Caenorhabditis elegans: one gene and its partner. The protein of the gene in region 1 purifies or fractionates together with the protein of each later gene. This does not show direct contact. Each region holds a gene or a part of one and is shown on either strand. Other genes may lie near its edges.

The links. Proteins that work in one complex are often made in the same cells at the same time.
Region 2: the proteins of rfc-3 (region 1) and fbxa-12 fractionate together in Caenorhabditis elegans (co-fractionation; one large-scale study listed by BioGRID). This does not show direct contact.

The regions. Positions count from the first base shown.
Region 1 is NC_003282.8:13,092,129-13,097,580, forward strand, and holds rfc-3 (Replication factor C subunit 3), read left to right. Parts: upstream 1-3,633; 5' UTR 3,634-3,640; coding exon 3,641-3,816; intron 3,817-3,860; coding exon 3,861-4,572; intron 4,573-4,633; coding exon 4,634-4,810; 3' UTR 4,811-4,952; downstream 4,953-5,452. Other genes in the region: prcc-1 (Proline-rich protein PRCC), read right to left, coding at 1-268, 1,001-1,504, 1,563-1,628; C39E9.12 (SAP domain-containing protein), read left to right, coding at 1,883-2,017, 2,062-2,212, 2,259-2,996, 3,046-3,251; dli-1 (Dynein light intermediate chain), read right to left, coding at 4,988-5,122, 5,170-5,400, 5,451-5,452.
Region 2 is NC_003281.10:2,217,163-2,223,559, forward strand, and holds fbxa-12 (F-box domain-containing protein), read left to right. Parts: upstream 1-2,545; 5' UTR 2,546-2,634; coding exon 2,635-2,687; intron 2,688-3,411; coding exon 3,412-4,027; intron 4,028-4,996; coding exon 4,997-5,203; 3' UTR 5,204-5,279; downstream 5,280-6,397. Other genes in the region: srd-65 (Serpentine Receptor, class D (Delta)), read right to left, coding at 5,321-5,508, 5,557-5,635, 5,678-5,956, 6,001-6,141, 6,195-6,291.

The DNA.
Region 1 (5,452 bases):
ATGGACCTTCTTGAACATCTTCTTCTTCTTCTGGCATTTCATACATTTGTCGAGGATCCATTCCTTCATCTGGACGGGATGGCCCAACTACATCCATGCTGCTGTTCATTGTCATATATGGAATTTCTGATGGAATTTCTGATTCTTTTCTAGTTGGAGCAGATGAGAAACCGAAGAAATCGGTTGGACCGTCATCATCGTCATCACTGTCGTCTGGCAGTTTTGGAGCTGGAGCCGGCTTGAAAACTGGAGCAGCAGCAGGTGTAGCCTGGAAGAGAAAGAGTTTTAAAATTAAAGTTTTAAATTAAATAAAAATTCAGTGAAGAAATCTGGAAATTTTATCCTGATTTTTAATATTTATGGGGACAAAAATCGAACAAAAATTCCCCGGTTTTATATTTTAGCTTGAAACAGCGAATTTTCGCGCCAGAGACGCCGTGTGTCGATTTACGAGATTTGTGTATATTTACAAGATTTTCAATCTTTATCGGATGCTGATTTCTGTTTTTCAACGAGTTTTCTTTATTTCCGTCGGTTTTTGACAAAATGTTTTGAGAAAATGTGTTTATTAAGGCCAATTAAACATTATATTATCAAAAAACCAAGTAAATTTCCAATGCTTAGGTCACAACTCAGCGGAAAATCCAAATATATGCTTTTCCTGACTGAAAATCGAATATTTAGTTAGTTTTTTGATATTATAATGTTTAATTAACCTCAAAAAAAAACACATTTTCAAAAAACGTTTCGGCAAAAACTGACGAAAATTGAGAAAACCGGAAATCAGCATCCGATTAAGATTGAAAATCTCGTAAATATACACACATTTCGTAAATCGACACATGACGTCTCTGGTGTGAAAATTCGGAAATCTCATGGGGACGCAAATGAAAATCGGCGATTTCAAGCTGAAATAAGAAATTAGGGAAATTTTTTTACTTAGTTATTCGAAATCAGAAGTATATTTTCTCAGAATCCGCACTCGACTTTCAATTTTTACCTTTTTAGAAACTGAATGTGGAACCATGGACTTATCGAATACATTTGCACCATCTGAACGATTATCTCTTCCTTTTGGAGCTGGAAGGTTTGACAAAAAACTGTTTCCAAGCTTCGGCTTAACTGTAGCAACAGCAGCACCTTCATTATCACTGTCATCGCTGGAATTTTCGCCAGTAATTCCTGCGAGAGCTCCGAACGCCGAAATTATAACTTTTCCTTTTGCTTTTTGAATTCCACCACCAATTTTCGGAATTTTTTCAACTTTCATCGCTTTTTTCGCCAATTTTTTCTCCTTTTTTCTCTCTTCTTTTTGTGCTTTTTTCAGAGCTTTTTTCTCCAGCTTTCTCCTTGCTTTCTCGGCCAATTTAACCTCCCATTCTTTCGGTTTTACTAATTCTTCGAGAACATCTTCTTTGTTCATGTTTGGTGAGCTTGATTTTTCTGTATTGTCAAAAAATGCTTCATCATCGACGAGTTGTTGATTTTGTGGAGCGAGTGAATTCTGAAATTTTGGAAAATTCGAAAATGTTTTCAAACTGAATAAAGAATAATTTGCTTACTTTTTGTTGTGTTTCCATTTCTTCATCACTTTCTGATTCACTTCCTGCGTAATCCACAAGGCCCATTTTGAGAAGAATTCTTCGAAGAAACGAATAATTTCAGACGAAATAAACAATACGAATATTGATTTCTTTATTCGAGAGGACTACACACAATAAGAAAGCAACAGCGCTCCAACGTACACCGCGCGAAAAACACAATTTTTCAAACAGCGATGGAGGGAAATTTCTTGAGTCCTATTTTGTTTCTTGTTCATTTGTTCCTTGTTTCATTTGCTTTTCTGTTCTCACTATTCAATAAAAATAATAATTTCAGTAAAATGTCAGCCAAAAATAAAGAGCTCGCCGAAGAGGACGTGCTCAACATGACATGCGACAAGCTTCGCAAGGAGTTAAAGAAGAAAAGGGCTTCGACTGCGGGAAAGAAATCGGAACTTCAATCGCGTCTTTTGGAGGTTTGAACTCAGTCGAAACAATGTGATTAATTTAACTTTTTCAGTTTCTCGCTGGCCAAAATAATGCCGGAAACGGGGAGGCAATCAGGGAAGAGCCGGAAGCCGAGGCTATGGACACCGACGAAGCACCTGCCAATCGCACATTCACAGTTGAAGAGGAAGAAGAAACTGAGAATACTACTGGCAGATTTGTTCGTAAGTTATATTCCATTTAGTTGAAATTTAAACAGCTTTATTACAGACGAGAATACTCCGACAAATGCGGTTGCTGTCGTTTTGGATGATGACTTGAGAAACCGTCTCTGTGGCAGTTTGGGAATCGATCTGCAAAGCTTCGAGGTGAAGTCACGCCCGAGAGTTCATCGTCTTTCGACAAGACTGTCTCTCCGCGCTAGTTCGTCGACTCCTCAAACATCTGAGCGACCAGGAATGCCGATCGAGAACAGAGGAATTACGCCAGTTCGTCAGCGTGCTCCATCCAGTGGAAGAGACAGATTCGCAATGATTCATGCAAGAGAGATGGAAAAAGAAGAAACACTCGGAGAGCGTCAAGAACGATTGAAGAAACGACACGAATTCATGACCGGCGACGTCCCAGAAGCTATCAGGAGACTTGCTACCCCGAAAAGTGTGCCAAGACGTGACCCAGTTGATAGATCAACTACAAGATCTGCTGCGCGCAATTGGCAAGTTCAGGATCCTGAGAAAATGTCCTTCCAATTCGGGGATAAATCTGCTGATGATTTTCCCGCTCTTGTCAGCTCACGAGCTGGCTGCTCATCGTCATCTGCTGCCACCACCTCTACCAAAAAGACAAAGTCCGTTGCAAGATCTCATGTGGACGTGAAGAAGCTCACCAAGTCACAAATCCCGAAACCATGCCGTTTAACTTCTCGAAAAATCATTCCTGCAACTGTCCCAGAAGATGATACATTCACCGAGTACATTTCCACGCCAAAAGGAACCACTCCAACTAGAGGTAACTATTCATATTTATCTTTTTTTCGCTAATTCATAGCAATTTTTAGTTCCACGACGTGCTGGTTACACACCACACTCTACGAGAAAAGTGTTCGTCGACACGACTCAATTGACGGATCGCGAGTTCACTTTGGCACTGGAGGAAGGATTAATCCCCGGAAGAGCTGCCACGAACCTCGAGAAACAACAAGTGGAGAACAAGAAGCGCCGTGACGACATTATCGCACTCAAGCGTAAAATGAATATCAAGTAGATATCTCAATTATTTTCTTATTTATCTTCACTCACTCGTCTCACTAGGCTAAACCTGTAAAATATTTCGTTGTTGACTTGTCGAGTTTCTGAAAATGAATTCTTTTAATTTATTACAATTCTCTTTATTTATTTTCTATTTATTTATTCCTCTATTCAATTGTTTGCGACAATTGTGATATCTTTGAATATGTCTTTTAATTTTTTTAGCAAGAAATATACGGTGGATCCGGATTCCCGAAGCGCAATTCGCGGCACGGTTTAATTTTTTAATTTACCATAAAAGCGCGTGCCGCGGAATTACTTTTCGGGTTCCACCTTCTATTTCTCGCGCTTATTTTGGACTTTAATTACTCTGACAATATAATATTAATCTTTTCTAGTGCAAAAATGGCGTTGTGGGTGGACAAATATCGACCAAAGGACTTGTTGGGAAAGGATGGCGTTGATTATCACATCGAGCAGGCCAATCATTTGAAGTTTCTCTCCGCAGACTGTATGCCGCATCTCTTGTTCTGTGGTCCCAGTGGAGCTGGAAAAAAGACACGGATCAAGTGTCTGTTGAGGTTTAATTATTGGTAAATTCAGTAAATAAAATAATATTTTTCAGAGAGCTTTACGGTGTTGGAGTCGAGAAAACGCAGCTCATCATGAAGTCGTTCACTAGTCCGTCGAATAAAAAACTTGAAATACAGACTGTCTCGAGCAATTATCACATCGAAATGACGCCGTCTGATGTTGGAATCTATGATCGAGTTGTTGTGCAGGATCTCGTTAAAGAAATGGCACAAACGTCTCAAATCGAATCAACTTCTCAAAGATCGTTCAAAGTTGTCGTTCTTTGTGAAGCGGACTCACTGACTCGTGATGCTCAACACGGACTTCGTCGAACTATGGAGAAGTACGCGAATAACTGTAAAATCGTTTTGAGCTGTGAATCCCTGTCCCGTATCATTGAGCCACTTCAATCTCGTTGCATCATCATCAATGTGCCAGCTCCAACCGATGAAGATGTGACCAAAGTCTTGCGGAAAGTGATTGAACGGGAGAGCTTTCTACTTCCGGAGAACGTTTTGCAAAAGATTGTGGAGAAGTCTGAAGGAAATCTGAGAAGAGCTATTCTGATGACTGAGGCTTTAAGAATGGAGAACGAGAGTGGTGTGGCTGAAAGTGTAGTAATTCCGGTTCCGGAATGGGAGATTTATATCCAAGAGACTGCTCGTCTGATCCTCCAGAAACAGAGCTCCGATATGCTTCTGAAAGTTCGCGAACGATTGTACGAATTGCTCTCCAGATGTATTCCACCAACTGTCATTTTTAAGGTGAGTTATAAGCACACAAATAGTATAAAATGTTCAAAAATATTTAGAAATACATTTTCAGAAACTTCTCGAGCATCTCCTTCCCAAATGTCCGCCACAAATTGCACGTGAAGTTGTCAGTGAAGCAGCGAAATTCGAGCATCGCCTTGTTCTCGGACAAAAAGCAATTTTCCATCTTGAAGGATTCGTCGCCGCTTTCATGGACATTTACCTTACTAATGCTTCTAAACCCAAGTGATCTCTGTCCCCGCGTATTATATTATTCTACTTTTGTGTAATCATAAACTTGAAACGAACTACATTATGGTTGTGTGGGTATTTACAGAAACAGCATATAATAAAAATCGTATCGCAAAGGAGAATAAAATGACCGGCGATAAAGCTTAAAATATTTAAATAGATTATGAAAATGACGTTATGCATCACTGTCCCGGGGTTGAGGTTTCGGGCTTTGCGCAGACTTCAGAAGACGATCGAGTTGGGCCTGGGTGGCTGCGGCATCCATCGGCTGGGAAACAGTGGAAGGAGAGCTCACCTTGCTCGGCTTGTCCTGAAATATGGAAATTCACATAGAAAAAAGATCTAAGATTGATTTACCTTATTGAGCAAGTTGGAGAAGAAATTGGCGAGTGGACTGTCCTTATCGGTAGGCTCTTCTTGCATAGTCCTCGGCTTGGGAGCGGCCGTAGTGGTTGAAGTTGCCAGGATGTCCATCAACTTCTTCAAGAAAGCCTGATCTTCCTCGGCTTCGATGAGCTGCTCTTTTGCGACAGGTCTAAGCTTATCGCGAGTCGGCTCTAAAGCTGAATCCACATCCGGAATAGACTCCTGAAATTAATCATGAACTCGGATTCTCCAATTACTTATGTAAAACTTACAC
Region 2 (6,397 bases), on another chromosome or scaffold:
GAAATTCCATTACAGATGTTTGAAAATAAAATAAAAAGGAATTAGCATTTTCTAATTTCAACCATCAAATGTGAAGCATTATTATAACGACGAAGTTTGAAATTAGCTCCACTGCTTGTAAACTCAATATCCATTTCATCACCAATAGTAAAATCTGGTTGAAACAATCTTGCAAATTCGATCAGATTTCCAGGGTCAAACCAAATAATGCAACGCCGGAAACTACTTCTTTTCAAGAGGTCCTGAAAGTTGCAACTTACTACATATATCTGTGGTGTATGATATATATGATGTGCCTATATATTTATGACTCCATATATATATATAGTATATATATATATATATATATATATATATATATATTTCTATATATATATATATTTATATAAATATATATATACAGATAATTTTTTCCACGGGAATTGACGGGAATTCAAATTTTCTGATAATGAGAAAAAAAACTATCACAGTTGCAACTTACATCTCGAATTTTAATTGCGTCTTCTTGTGGAAATTGAACAATCGTTGTACAGAACTCTTCGAAATGAAAGAAATGATCAATTGCTGTCAGGTAACAATTTGTAACACCATAATACGTGGATCGGAAGCTTTTTGCACATTTCCACTGATCCAGCAAAGTGATCCTTTCAAAATCAAGAACCTTGCCAATGAGCAAACAATTAATATCGTCCAGCACGTCCGCTTCAAAACACGGCAATATTGAAAGAATTTCGTTGAATGTTAGGTATAGAAGATTTATTTTCTTCACGTGAACGCTTCCTCCGTTCTCCAAAACATTCACAAGAGATTTGAGAACCTCGTTTTTATTTCTTGTAAAGTTTTGCAGAACAAATGAAGATGCATGGTTCATTGCTATTTTCAGGTCCTTGAATGCCAACTCCATGAAATCTTTTTCTTGGATAATAGTCTTCCGTCCTTTGTAGATCACAGCTGAATCAGTGTATTCCAGTTCAATCTTATCAAACCGTATTGAAAGGGTTTCGCTCATAACGTCCAGCTTGATGGTGTCAAAACGGATTCCAAGCTTGTCAAGGGCGGCTCTCAAGCTTCGACAGACTTTACGGCAGGTTAGTCTGGAATTTAAATAGTTTTTGATTTAACACTGCAAGTAAAGTTTTAAGTCTAAGCCTACCATTTTAGCTCCGCCTATTTTTCAGCCAATTAACGTTTAGCTCCGCCTATTTCTCAGCCAATCAACGTTTAACTCCGCCTATTTTTCAGCGAATCAACGTTTAGCTCCGCCTATTCCTCAGCCAATCGACGTCTCAGCCAATCAACGTTTTGCTCCGCCTATTTTTCAGCGAATCAACGTTTAGCTCCGCCTATTCCTCAGCCAATCGACGTCTCAGCCAATCAGCAATTAGCTCTGCCTATTTCTCAGCCAATTAACGTTTATCTCCGCCTATTTCTCAGCCAATCAACGTTTAAATCCGCCTATATCTCAGCCAATCAACGTTTAACTCCGCCTATTTTTCAGCGAATCAACGTTTAGCTCCGCCTATTCCTCAGCCAATCGACGTTTAGCTCCGCCTATTTCTCAGCCAATCAGCAATTAGCTCTGCCTATTTCTCAGCCAATTAACGTTTATCTCCGCCTATTTCTCAGCCAATCAACGTTTAAATCCGCCTATATCTCAGCCAATCAACGTTTAACTCCGCCTATTTTTCAGCGAATCAACGTTTAGCTCCGCCTATTCCTCAGCCAATCGACGTTTAGCTCCGCCTATTTCTCAGCCAATCAGCAATTAGCTCTGCCTATTTCTCAGCCAATTAACGTTTATCTCCGCCTATTTCTCAGCCAATCAACGTTTAGATCCGCCTATATCTCAGCCAATCAACGTTTAGCTCCGCCTATTTCTCAGCCAATCAACGTTTAGCTCCGCCTATTTCTCAGCCAATCAACGTTTATCTCCGCCTATTTCTCAGCCAATCAACGTTTAGATCCGCCTATATCTCAGCCAATCAACGTTTAGCTCCGCCTATTTCTCAGCCAATCAACGTTTAGCTCCGCCTATTTCTCAGCCAATCAACGTTTAGCTCCGCCCACTTTTCAACCAATCAGCATTTAGCTGCACCCAATTCTTAACCATTCAGCGGAGGAAAGCAGCCCCTTCTGATTGGCCAGAAGTTGCTCAACATCATAGTTTTTTTCGTAGTTTTTAAGAGTTTCGAGATTATTCTGTATATTTTGAAATTTGAAAATGAAAAATTCGCATTGCTGTTAAAATGCAAAAAAACTTACCGTTCAATGGGCTCCAGCTTTTCAAAACATGATTGGCAATTTCCAACGGCAATTCTAGTAAAGTAGGCATTTTCGAAAGTTTCTTTTTTCAAGTAAAAACCTGAAGTTTTCAGTGTAAAATTTGAAGAAATTGGGAAGTTTCGAGTAAAATGAAATTATACCAATGTGTGACTGTTATCAGTTTAAATATTTTTTCGGGAAAAACGGATGGAGTCATACTTTTTTTACGGAGGAAATGTTTAAATACCATGCGTCATTGGAGTTTGTATAATAGAGAGAGTGAATAGACGTTTTTGGTTCATTTTTACGTTTGAATTTACATATAACTCCAGTAAAATGTCCAAGTTATCGCCAACTTTGCTCACTATCAGTATGCCTTTGGAAATTTCTGATGAAATTTTGTCAAAATTGCCTGCAATGGATCTGTAAGTTGAAGTTATAATTTCACAAATTTTTCCAAATGAAAGTCAAACTTTATGCTAAAAAATTTGAATTTCCCGCCAAAATGTTCAAAAAACATTTAATTTGAATTTCGCGCCACAAATTTTTAAAAATGTTGATATTAACGGTGCGTCAAAATTTATTTGTTCAATAACAAAATTAAATTTTATGCCAAAATTGTTTGGAATATTAAAATGTTTTAAAAATTTTAAATTTATTTTTGTACCCAAATTTTTTAAATATTGATTTTGGCGCCAAAATTTTTATTCTTTAAAAAATTGAATTTCGTGCCAAAAATGTTTGAAAAATTAAAATTTGAATATATATTTTTTTAAGATTAAAAACGTTTTTTTTTTTGAGAAATTTAAATTTGAATTTGGCGCCAAAATGTTTAAAAAATTAAAATTTGAATTTTCCGCCAAATAATTTTAAAAAATTGAATTTGAATTCAAATTCAAAATTTTGGAAAATTTTAAAATTGAATTTGGTTCCTAATTTTTTTATGATAAAAATTTGAAATGTGCTCCAAAATATTTTAAAAAGTTCAATTTGAATTTTCTGCCAAATATTGTTGGGAAATTAAAATTTGAATTCCGTGCCAAAAATTTAAGTTTTTTTCATGATTATATCTGATCTTTTCGGTACCAAATAAGTGTTTCCAGCTCAAAGGAGTCTTAAAATCTTTTTAGTAAAAATGCAATGTTCCAGACTATCCTGCCGTAAAGTGTGCAAAAGTCTGAGAAGCGCCGTTGACCAATCAGGAAACCATCTCAACAGAATCTCATTTGACATTTGTAATGATTTCGTTGCGATGGACTTAAACGGAAGTCAAATCAAATATACCGATGTTTCTGGTACTGCATACGTGACTTACAAAGGACGAGAAACAAAAATCGAAGAAGACAATTTCATGCGAGCAGCGTTCAACGACTTGGCGAGCGTATTGAAAAACGTGAAGAAGTTCGTTTTTCAGAACTATTCGAAAGTAAAACAACAAGCCATCACATCGTCGATAAATGATATGTTGGAAAATAAATGTATAGCCGTAGAGTCAGTAGTACTATACAACTTCCCACATGATGATATTTTGAACATCATTTCGAGTTGTCAAGCTGAAGTGCTCAAAGATATTGTATTATGGCACCGCGACGGAGTCGAGTTATCTGAAAGAATCACTTGTCTGGACCAATGGAAAAAAGCACGAACTTTGCATTGTCGGTTTTTGTTTTGTGATCTAGTACCAATTGAGCACTTTTTTCACTTTGAAGAGTTCAGTATTCAAATTGACAATCTCTCAATGCCAAATGCGATTAAAATTCGAGATGTGAGTTTTTCTGATTTTCACATGTATGTGGTATATAGTAGTAGTAGTAGTAGTAGTAATCAAGGGTGTCGGTTTTTCGTTTTTCGGTTTTTTGAAAATCGAAAAATCGAAAAATTTCGTTTTTCGTTTTTTCGATTTTTCGATTTTTTTTTTTTTTTTCAGAAATTAGCTTCATATTTTAGCCATTATTCTTCTTTTTAGAAGAAATGTGTATGTTTTATTATAAATTCAAGCAAAATTAGATTTAAAAAATCATATTTTAAGGATAATTTTCCGAAAATCTTTTTCGATTTTTCGATTTTCCAGAGAATCGAAAAATCGAAAAATTTTCGATTTTTCGGTTTCTGAAAATCGAAAAATCGAAAATTTTCGTTTTTCGATTTTCAATTTTTCGATTTTTCGATTTTTCGATTTTCACTGAAAAAAATTAAAAAATCGAAAAAATCGAAAAATCTAAAAATCGAAAAATGACACCCTTGGTAGTAATAGTGTGTAGTAGTATATAATTTGTATGTAGTATGTATGTATGTAGCATGTATTTATGTAGTATGTAGCATGTATATATGTAGTATGTAGTATGTAGTATGTATGTATCTAGTATGTAGTATTAGTAGCAGTAGTAGTAGTAGTATATAGTATGTATGTAACATGTATGTATGCAACATGTATGTATGTAGTATGTATGTATATAGTATGTATGTATGAAGTAGTGGTGTGTATGTATGCATGAATAACCTAATGAAATTTCTCGAAACCTTCTGAAAAAAGTTGCGGTGGTTTAAAAAATTACCGAAATTTGAAATTTGACCGACTTGTCAAGCACTAACTTTTATGAAATTACCATATAGCTATCTTAAGTTTTAACTTGATTTAGATACATTTAAAGTCGACGGATCACCAGATTTCGTAAATTTAAGTAAACCGAAATCAAGTCAAGACATCTTACTTGTATACCCAAATTTTTTTCAGGACCTCATGAACAAAACTACATTCAAGACCTGCACTATTTCAACTCACCATAATGTGCAATCAATTGAACTTGCAAGAATATTTCAACCGGACTATATGGGCGACATTGACTATAACATCAAATATTCTAATAACACTGGCACCTTCGAAATTTCTTTCAAATCATCACTTACTATTAGAGCACGGTTTGTTATTAAAAAATGCTGACAACAAAGGGATCTTGTTTCTATATTTTCCAAACGACCAAAATTATTCATATGTGCATTAAAAAAGTTTAATAAAAAACATGCTTCATTTTTGAAAAAAAAGCCCATTAATAATTTTTCAAGCAACACTGTTCACTGCTGAAACTCTTGTAGCCCAACTACCATCAGCAGACGGCTTCCGCACGAAGAAAGCCCGAACAGCGTTCCTGTACGGTGTAATGAAGTAAATTTGAAAAATTGGATCCAAGAAGCAAGGAAGTGCTCCTAGACAGGTTATTGTGTACTGAGAGATCAGGAATTGATGGCCTAAAGGTGATATATACAAATTATATTGGTTTGATAAGCTTCCCTTACCAGTGACTTGAATCAGAATAAATAAAAACACTACGGGGATATAACTAAGCATCGGCAGAAAGATTTGAAAGTTCAGGCCCTGGAAACCAAATTAAGCTATATAACAAAAGCTTACGCCTACAATAATCATTTTCCGAAACATAACACGTGTAGCGTCCGATGTGTTTGGGGATACATGAGGTTTAAGAAGCTTCATCGCCTGATGCTTCCAGTAGCTGCCGATCATTGGAAAATACAACGTGACAAGGAACATAGCCACTGTAGAATTATCGAGATAAACTTTTTGAGCTTGGCTGAACCCTCCAAAATTCAGATACGGAGTGTAGTCATACTCAGGGTAATGGGCTAGCGTTTCATTGTAGACTGCCAGATGGTCGGAGGGAGGAATCAAGGTAGAAGTCTGTAATAATATGGATTGGCTAGCTTTGTACGACGTCTAGCTACCAGATAGGCTATTATGAACAGGTAATGCCAAGAAAAAATCAAGGTGTTACGGCCAATTTCCTGGGCGTTGATCAACTTCAGACATACGGTGCGATAGTAGAGAGTGTGCAAGTTGATCAAGTTCACTGTTAGTACAGAAGTCTGGAAATTTGGAGGACAAGAGGGCCTACAGGGCTTGAAAGAGGATATCTCACCGCATATGCTTTATAGCACGTCGCACAAAACGTTGGCCCGAGAAACTTACAAAACCCATCACACAGCAACCCCATGGAATTCTCATTATCAATATTTCTTTAAAAAATTTAACTTAAAGGTGGAGTAGCGCCAGTGGGGAAATTGTGAAAAACCACTTATTTGATCCCAAAATGACCAAATATCATGATAAAACTTTTCAAAA